Linked DNA regions of Mus musculus. The protein of the gene in region 1 purifies or fractionates together with the protein of each later gene. This does not show direct contact. Links are inferred from orthologs where the notes say so. Each region holds a gene or a part of one and is shown on either strand. Other genes may lie near its edges.

Evidence for each region.
Region 2: the proteins of Golph3 (region 1) and Fam20b purify together in Homo sapiens (affinity purification with mass spectrometry; 3 studies listed by BioGRID and IntAct, with this or other methods). This does not show direct contact. The link is inferred for Mus musculus from reciprocal best matches to the Homo sapiens genes GOLPH3 and FAM20B.

Annotation. Positions count from the first base shown.
Region 1 is NC_000081.6:12,319,820-12,324,421, forward strand, and holds the start of Golph3 (Golgi phosphoprotein 3), read left to right. Parts: upstream 1-1,676; 5' UTR 1,677-1,912; coding exon 1,913-2,137; intron 2,138-4,602. UniProt on the Homo sapiens protein: Phosphatidylinositol-4-phosphate-binding protein that links Golgi membranes to the cytoskeleton and may participate in the tensile force required for vesicle budding from the Golgi.
Region 2 is NC_000067.6:156,715,932-156,720,349, reverse strand, and holds the start of Fam20b (glycosaminoglycan xylosylkinase), read left to right. Parts: upstream 1-1,439; 5' UTR 1,440-1,484; intron 1,485-1,558; exon of another isoform or gene 1,559-2,184; intron 2,185-3,369; exon of another isoform or gene 3,370-3,462; intron 3,463-4,418. UniProt on the Homo sapiens protein: Responsible for the 2-O-phosphorylation of xylose in the glycosaminoglycan-protein linkage region of proteoglycans thereby regulating the amount of mature GAG chains.

The DNA.
Region 1 (4,602 bases):
ATCTATCTATCTATCTATCTATCTATCTATCTATCTATCTATCTATCTATCTAGTGTGTGTTTTATGTCTGCTGTTCTTACCTGTTCATGAACTTGTAGAGGCCAGACGTTGACCTCAGGCATCCTCTTTAACTGTTTCACAGGCTTCCAGGATCTGTCTTTCTTAGCTTCCTAAGGCTGCTATTACAGGAATGTACTTGGTGCTCATGAGTGCTGGGATTTGAACTTTGGTCCTCACGCTAGCTCAGCAAGCTGTTGACCCACTGAGCCATTCGCTGGGCCCTCACACTGTTTCTGAGGCAAGGCTTCTTATTGGGACCTAGGCACTTACCCATTTGCTTGCCCATGTGGCGAGGCTCACTGGCAAGGAAGCCTCCAGGAATCTGCCTCTGCCTCCCAGATGCCAGTTTCTAATTTGTCCTCAAGTACTGTGCCCACTGACTACCTCCCCAACGAAGCTTCACATCTTACCCCATTTAAAAAAAAAAAAAAATCTCCGCAGGGACAGGAGCAACTAGCCGAACAGGCAGAGCCTGTACGCACAGCTTTGTGCTTTTTGGATTTAACCTTCTGAGTTAAATAACCATTTAATTTACAAAGGACATTTAAAGTCAGTTGGCAAAGAATGACCAGAAAGGTGAAGGAACAAAAAGGTGACGTGAATGGGAGAAACTGGCTGAGGACACATTTTTTTTTTTTTTTTTTTTTCAGGAAAAAGGGAAGGTAGCTTGGGGCTGTGGGTGGGAGGACCTACTGGGACTTACTGTCCCCGTAGGAGTTGAGACAACGTATTTGGGCGCGGGGAATATTCTGTCTAAACCTGGCTTACTCACTGCGTATGGTTACTGTTTATTTTAAATAATACTGGACAGACCTACGATACCGTTTTTGGATAATGTTTTCTCATAAGACCCGCCCTTCTACTTCTCCAAACCCTTCTCAGGTTTGGCAGTTTTTCCTTTAACTTGATTTGCACAAACTGCCAAAGGGATTGAACCTAGTAATTACATCGAAAATAGATTTAGGGCTACAAAGACGTGGCATGAAACTCAAGAGGTTTACTGTCGCTATAAAAGAATCCTAAGGTCGGCTGTCCTAACAGTACAGTGCGCCCTGACCACTTTACAGCCGCAGTCGGAGGTAGGAAAGTTTTACAAACACAATTCGTCAATTTGTTTAACCTCTCTACGCCAGAGCACAGTACATGAACAGCTTTAAACGCCCGAGTGTAGATGACTCCTTTTGAAACTCGGGAGTTTCACAGGCGAAGAGCCAAGTCCTCCCCGTAGGTAGTGAGGACCCGGGCTATAGTGGCTGATCCCCAGGGATGCTGAGGTCTCAGTGGGGTCCGCCCTAGCCTGGCCTCGGCTTCTGGGATCCAGGAGAGATCTCACTGGTCGCTGGCGCCAGGCCGGACCTTTAGAGTGAACTGAGAGGCGGATGAAAGCCGGGCAGGTCACCGATCGCAAACCTTTCGTCTCCAGACTCAGGGCCACTAGCGAGTCCAGAAGCTCAAGTGTCCGCCGAAGTGGGAGGCGGCTAGCCACGCCCCCCGCTCGCGCCGCTTCCGGCACCCCGGCCCCGCCCCGCGCCGGCGCTGCCACATCCTCCGGTGACGTCAGCGCGCGCCGCCATATTGGGAAGCGCCACCGCCGCCGCCGCCTCCGCTCGGGCTCCTGGGCTGTGTGGGGGGCCACAGCCGCGGGCTGAAGGCTCCCTTGTGTACCCCATCGACGCCCGGCCCGCCGGCTTCGCCCAGCTCCGGCTCCTCATGACCGCCTTCGGCCCCGCAGCCCACGGACATCGCCCCAGCTCCAAGAATTAACACGGAAGCTCCCGGGGCCGGGGCCGTGAGGGAGAGCCGGCCGGTCCCGCGTCCCTGTCGGTCCGGCGCGGCTCTTGTGCGGGAGCCATGACCTCGCTGACCCAGCGGAGCTCGGGCCTGGTGCAGCGGCGCACCGAGGCCTCCCGGAACGCTGCCGACAAGGAGCGGGCGGCGGGAGGCGGCGGCGGCAGCGGCGAGGACGAGGCGCAGAGCCGCCGCGACGAGCAGGACGACGACGACAAGGGCGACTCCAAGGAAACGCGGCTGACCCTGATGGAGGAGGTGCTCCTGCTGGGCCTCAAGGACCGAGAGGTGCGGGCGCCGCGGCCCCGGCCGGGGTGGCAGCCGGGGTGGCAGCGGGACCCGGGTGGCTCCAGGTGGGGCCCGGGTGGGCGCTGGCCGAGGCCTCACCTGTCCCTGCTTCCGGAGCCCCGCGCCCCTGAGCGCCCTCTCGTCCCAAGGAGTGTGGGAGTCAGCCCTCTCCGGCTGCGCTCCGAGTGCTCCCGATCCTCCCGGTACCAAGTGCTCGCTTGGGTTTTCCCGTCCTCTGCTCACAAGCACTCTTAGTTCCGAAGTCTTGGCGATCTTTGCGTTTCTTCTTCTTCGCCGTCTGCCGCAAATAATGGCAACTCCAACCCAAGACTGTTGAGATCTAAAGACTCGGGGCTACCGCGGCTCCCAAGTATTGAGTTTTTGCAGGTTTTAAGACCCGGGAGAGGTTCGCGGATCTACTTGCTGTCGGCCCTCTTTCTTATGTAAAACTTGAGTTGCGGCGCGCGGTTAAGAAATTAGCAAAGTTGTTTTTACTGGGTATTGTTTTAAAAAGTCAATACTAAGTTGATATAAAACCTAGGAAGTTACTTTTTGGATGAACTTGGTTTGAGCGAGCGATGAGTTAGTTTTGCGGTTAGATCTGCTGTCGTCCTTTCCGTTTTGCCATTTTAAGGGAGGGCTTGTGAAGAGCTGGGAGGAATACCAAGTTTGCGCTTTGATGAAAGACTGCAAAGATTTAGGTAGGCTTAAGTTGTGTTCTGACGTTTGGAAAGGTCACCCCAGATATTTAGGAATTTCACACATATAAGTTGAAAAAGTGCAAGTGTCCGTCTTTTAAATGTCTGGATTCTGTAGTTAATGTTTGATTGATTTTATTAATACCCATCCATCTCTAAAGATGATTATTTTTAAGGGCAGACTTGCAGGATTGGATGTTTCATAAATCATGTATGATGAGGTGGCCCGGAAGTTTGTTTCGTTTCAGTGTGGAAACTCTAGACAACACATTTTGAGAGTCAGACAGAAAGGTATTGGATCTTGTTTTTAAATACGTTTTCAGAATTCAGGAAGGAGGACAAGAAACAAACCAGAACAAAACTCAGTTCATCCTATAAAACAGTTTTTTAGTTCCTCAGACTTAGCAGCGGTAGAGAGCTGAGTTTTTCCAGGGACTGTTTGTGGTTCCCGGATATTAGATACTACCCAGGGAAGTGCTTCTTGATGCCTTAATACCATTCAGCTTGAAGACACTTAATGGCCCTCAGGCTGTGAAAGGGGCACAGTACCTGTTTAATTACAGTTATTATGAGGAATGCGGTGGTGTGTGTTTCATTTTTAGTTGTGGAGTGAAAAGCTAGATGTTAGTGTGTGGCAATGCGATTTTAGAGAGCATTCACTTAGGAAGTAATTAGATTTTGAAAGCAGGCTTCTTGTAATACACATTTATCTTTCCTTCCCTCCTTCCCTACTTTGGAACAAAACAGATTATGAGACATTTCTAGGAAGTACAAGAAAAACAAAATGAAGGTTACATTCCTGGGTCAGCATTTTGGTTCTGTATGCTAGAACTCGGTAAAGCTACAACGGAACAAAAAAAATTATTTTTGGTATTGTCACATTGAGAAACAATGGTGGAAAAATACCTTTTACTTTAGAAGCCTTACTCTGAATTTTTAATATAAAGCTGTTACCAGTTATTTTTCTGTGATTGGTTCCCGTGAAGATAATCTGAAGAATTTTTTGAATTTAATGCTACTACAACATTCAACTAGTTTTGTTTTGTTTTGTTTTTTAAACAATGGAAGTTCTTTGATGGCAGGTAACTGAGACCATCTGTTGTGGTTGTTTTGTATAAGTATACTTCATAAGTCATGGCCAAGGTTCAGCCAGGCACTAATTTGTAGCATGTGGGGGTGGGCACTTGTTTTTAAAAAAATGTAGGTACATATTTTTTCTTTCATCAAGTGTGTACACAGTAGTGACTAGTCCTATAAACCTATCACCCAGTCTATTTGGGGGATGGTCCCCTTGTCTTTTTTTTTTTTTTTTTTTTTTAAAAGACAAAGTCTTGGTTTCCTGGCTCTGTTTCCGTAGCCACTTAAGCTTTGTTCAATTTGTTATTAACTTAGGTTCTAGGGATTGGGAATATACAGCTCGGTTGATAGAGTGCTTTGGATGAAGTTCTGAATTTGATTCCTTCCTCTGCACAGACTGGGCTTGGAAGCCCATCATGCCTATACTTCCACTTGGGAGGCAAGCCTATCAGAAGTTCAGGGTCACCTTCACCTACATAGAAAGTCAGAGGCCAGCCTGGGCTACATGAGAAGCCATTGGCTTCAGATTATTTACATGGAGTTTTGTTTAAAGTCTTTGTTAGGTCTCAAACTCAGGAAGTATAGCTGCTAGCCAAGGTGCCTATCAGAGCAGACACTGGCTACCTGTCTCAGCATCGCCTATACCTGTTAAGAGTCCTGACTCTTCTTAGCACTTTCATCCAGCCCTCC
Region 2 (4,418 bases), on another chromosome or scaffold:
CTGTTAAGAAATAAGGCAGACTCTCATCACCATCCAGCCAATTTTCCCAAGAATTGTGCTTTCCATTGTCGGATAATGGCCTCAACCCTTTTCAACTCTATCCAGTAAAAGCTGACACAGGGCTGTCTACGCTGCCCTTTGTACGCCTTGCAGTGATGAGTGCTTCCAGCAGTGATTAAAGCTGCTTTCCCTCACTAAGTCTTCTGGGGTAGGGTGTCAAGTCCAATAGTTTCTCTGGGTGTCCTGATCGAAAGTGCTACACACACACACACACACATTAAACTAACTTCACACAATAATTGTATTTTCTCCACACATTTACTATTTAAATCTCACCACAATCCTGTCAAGTAGGTACTGTGTTTAACTTCCATTTCCCAAGGAGCCTTATACTCAGAGGCACTACATGACATGCCCAGTGGCATACAGTGGGGGGTGGGAGGGAGGGAGAGAGAGAGGGAGAGAGAGAGAGATCGTTTCTTTCCCTCTTGAAAGAAATTCCTGCTTAGTCCCCAAACTCCCCCCCCCCCCGCACAAATCATATCCAATGTAGAACGTACACCATAATATTTTAGGGTCAAACAGACTACATGGAAGCTGTCTATATGGTGAATAAACGTATGCATTATACAGTAGCTACTGTGTGTGGAGTGGACACACGTTAAGGGGAGGAGCAGCTCATTGACTCTTCAGGAGCCTAGTGGGTGAGTGCAGGGCACTGGAAACCAAGTCGCGCTGGATTTGCCCTCTTAGGGCTTACAGTCCATTGCAAGGCACAAACATTAAAAAAAAAAAAGCTATTATAATAAAATAAACAGGATTTTGTTAAGAGCTACTGAAAAGGTACAGTAGGGGAGCTCTGCTCTGGGCCAAAGCTGGAGCGATTTCCAAGGTGGGAAGTCTGGCCTCTTTTGGTCAGGGAAGGGCACTTTGGGGCAGAATCTCCAAGGAGAAGTCAAGGCAGAGCGAAAGAAAGAAGAAATTATCTCTTCAGAATAGGACTTCACCTAGATGACTGCAGGAAAGAAATTGTGAAGGTAAGAGAGAAGCCAGAAGCTAGTTTATGTAAACAGGCTTGGAGAAATCCGCCGACGGTGTCTGCGGAGCCCAGCGCTGCAGGAATGAGGGTGAAAGGGTTAAAGGGGGCGGTCCGGAGCTGCCCGGTAGTCCCGCCTACCCGCAACGGGGGCGGAGCTGCGCCGGGTGCGCACTGGGATTGGCTGCAGGGAGGGCGTTCCGCTAGGACCGTACCAACAGCCAGGCAGCGCGGAGGCGGGGGTGGGTGTGGAGCGGCCGGCTCCGCGGGGAGCGGCGACCGGGGAATGGCCGGGCCGGCGGTGGGCGGGAGCCGCAGTGGTGGCGGCGGCGGCCCGGGGCGGTGAGTGCGGCGTGGGGCTGCCCCTCCCCGGAGGCGGCGGGGGCGGCCGGGGCCGCGCCTCACCGCACCGCGCGGGCGGCTATGGAGCGAGCCTGAGGCCCGCCAGGTGAGTGGCGCGGTTGGAGAGGGCGCGCGACCCCTCGCCCGGGAACGACGGGAAGGAGGGAGGGAGGGAGGGAAAGCGCGGGCGGCGGGGGGCGGGGCACCTCCCTCAGGGGCCGGATGCGGGGCTGCGGGCGATCGGGAGTCCTTGCGGTGACCGGTGCTCGCTGCTAAGGACGGTCCCCAGAGGCTCCTGGCCCTGGTGTCGCCCTTCTGTCACACGAAGCCGGTGTCGGCGGCCCGGCGGGCAGCGCGCTCTAGCTCGGTCCCTACGCCGCCCTCCTGGTGGCCGAGGAGCGCGCTCTCGCTGAGCCCCTACGGGGCCCGCTTGGTGGTCGGGGAGCGCGAGTGACCTGCAGGCCCTGGGCCGGAGAGGGCAGCGGTGTCCTGCGGTCGTGCGCTCAGAGCGCCAAGGGGCACAACTTAGGATGAGACTGTGCAGAGTGGGCTGCGCTGGCGGTTTCATTTCCGGGTGTGATGGCCCGGCGATTAAGAGCGAGCCCAGACGTTGCCTTGAAGATGAATGCGAACGTTGTCAAGCTGTGTCCTTGATTGTGGAGTCTGATAAGACATTCTTTTTAATCTGGAGTCAGTGATCTGTCAGGCTCCTGATAAAAACGAAGAAAAGGGGGGGGGGAACAACAGGGCGTGGATGGTCCTTATACAATTACTTCGTTTAAAGACTTATGTCTCCAGTAGGATGGGTAAGGCGTTTACAATTTGGGAAAAGGATATGTTTAACACTGTCACTTGGATCTAGGGCCAGGTGTGAGGGTCATCTCTACTCAGCCAGGTTCCCTCCGGAGATTTGATAGCTCACGTTGGAAGAAAGAAATAATGCGATCTTTTCACGATTGAGGTCTACGGCTTTATAATACAACCGAGAATCCGGAAAGTCAAGATTGTCAATAATTAACCATGCCTACATTGCTTGGGTTGTAATTTCACATTGAGCTCAATGTGCTTGCCATTCCCTGAATTTATGCAAGCCGGGTGAGCAAGCTGAAAGCACTTGTGCATGTTATCGTCCTGAGAAACAGGTTCAGGCATTAAAGATGCTAAATTATTTGCATAGGCTCTAAATCAATTTAGGGCAAATTTAAAATTATTGTATTAAATTAATAACTTTCTTAAAGTTTGTGAAGATGTTGGGTTTTGTGTCCCAGAACTGTTACCTGAAAACAAGATGCGGGTTCACATTAGAAAATACTTATCACAGGAGAACAGTGTGGGGTGGGGGTGAGGGAGGGGGAGGGGGGATTAGTCGTCCCCTTTAATCCCACCATTCCTGAGGCAGAGGCAGGCATATATCTGCGGTCTAGGATAGGCTACATAGTAAGACCCTTCCTCAAAAGCCAACAAATCGAGGAAAATAAAAGGTACTGTGCGTAAGTCTAGCCTCAGTCATAATAAAGAACATATAAAAATAATGAAGGGAAAAGATAATTTTAAAAAAAAATAAGACTGGCCGGGTGATGACACAGCGCATGCCTTGAACCCCAGCCTTTGGGAGGCAGAGGCAGGCAGATCTCCGCATTCCAGGCCAGCCTGGTCTACTACAGAGTGAGTTCCATGACAGCCAGGGCTGTCTTGAAAACAAACAAAAACCTGGAATTTACAGCTTTCCTTGTGACCATGGGGTTGATTTGCTCTGTTTCCTTAGGACTAGTGAGAAAATAGGTACTTTTCATTTTTAAAGCACAGGCCTTGCTTTTTAAAATATATTTTGAACCAAAGTATACTTTGGAAAAAAGCAAGTCACAGATTTTTATTTTTCATAATTTTTTATGTCATAGACTTATTTTGTGCTGTTGATGATTATTTACTTTAGTCCCTTCTGTCTCTTCTGAATTTCCAGTTCCTAAATGGGAATTTCTGTTTACTTTTAGGATATGAATTGGCTCCCTCTGACCGCCATTTCAGTGCTTGTAAGTGTGAGGTCAGCAACTGCAGCCTACAGATTGATAACTGTCGAACCCCTGGTGAGTGCCAAGACAGTAGAGTCAGCTGTTAGCGCACTCATGGTTGCGGACAGAAGGAGCTGTGGGTGTCAGGTTGATCTGGGATAGAACACGAGATGATTTTTGTGGATAGGGGTAAAGGGCATAGTTACCATGGGGCCCTACAGTTGTAATTCATAGTAGGTGTGCATTAATTGTTGGTCGGTTGAAGTAATAAATGGAAAGTGGTGTGAGGGAAGCATAAATATTGTAGTGCAAATGCTAGATCTTTTTATGCTCGCCCTCCCCCATTTTTCTTTTCTTTTTTTTTGGGGGGGGGGTTCGAGACAGGGTTTCTCTGTGTAGCTCTGGCTGTCCCTGAACTCACTTTGTAGACCAGGCTGGCCTCGAACTCAGACATCTGCCTGCCTCTGCCTCCCAAGGGCTGGGATTAAAGGTGTGTGCCACCACTGCCTGGCTCTCCCCCGTTTTTTCAATCAAAAGGAATTTTAAAAAAAAGAAGGCAAAAACACTGTGTTTCCGATTTCTGTTGGCCATGTGTTACTAAGGTGGGTGTCTGCAAACGGTATTGTTTATCTGATTCAGTTCTGTGATCATATGGTGTTCCAGCCACCTGCAACCTGACGATCTGGTCACAGAGAGCTGCACAGACTTCCTCCTGCCACTTGGACTGGCTAGCTGAGCAGTTAGATAGATAACCAGTGTTTCGCCATTAATAGAAAACCATGGAGTTGTTGGTCATAACCGTCCCAGTAGCCTCAGTGCTCACTGCCCTCCTGTCCCGCCCAGTGGAGATGAGCGAGGAAGGGTCTTTCTCCCATAGCTTCTCCGGCACCTGTGCATCCCGCCCTCTCGTCCTTCTGTGAGCCTCTGTGTGACTGAGTTCAATAACTTGCAGGGCTGAGGCACAGAACAGAAGTCCTTCCTTTGCTACTGAAATTCCCTCTGACTAATGTACAGTAAACATGACAGCGAGA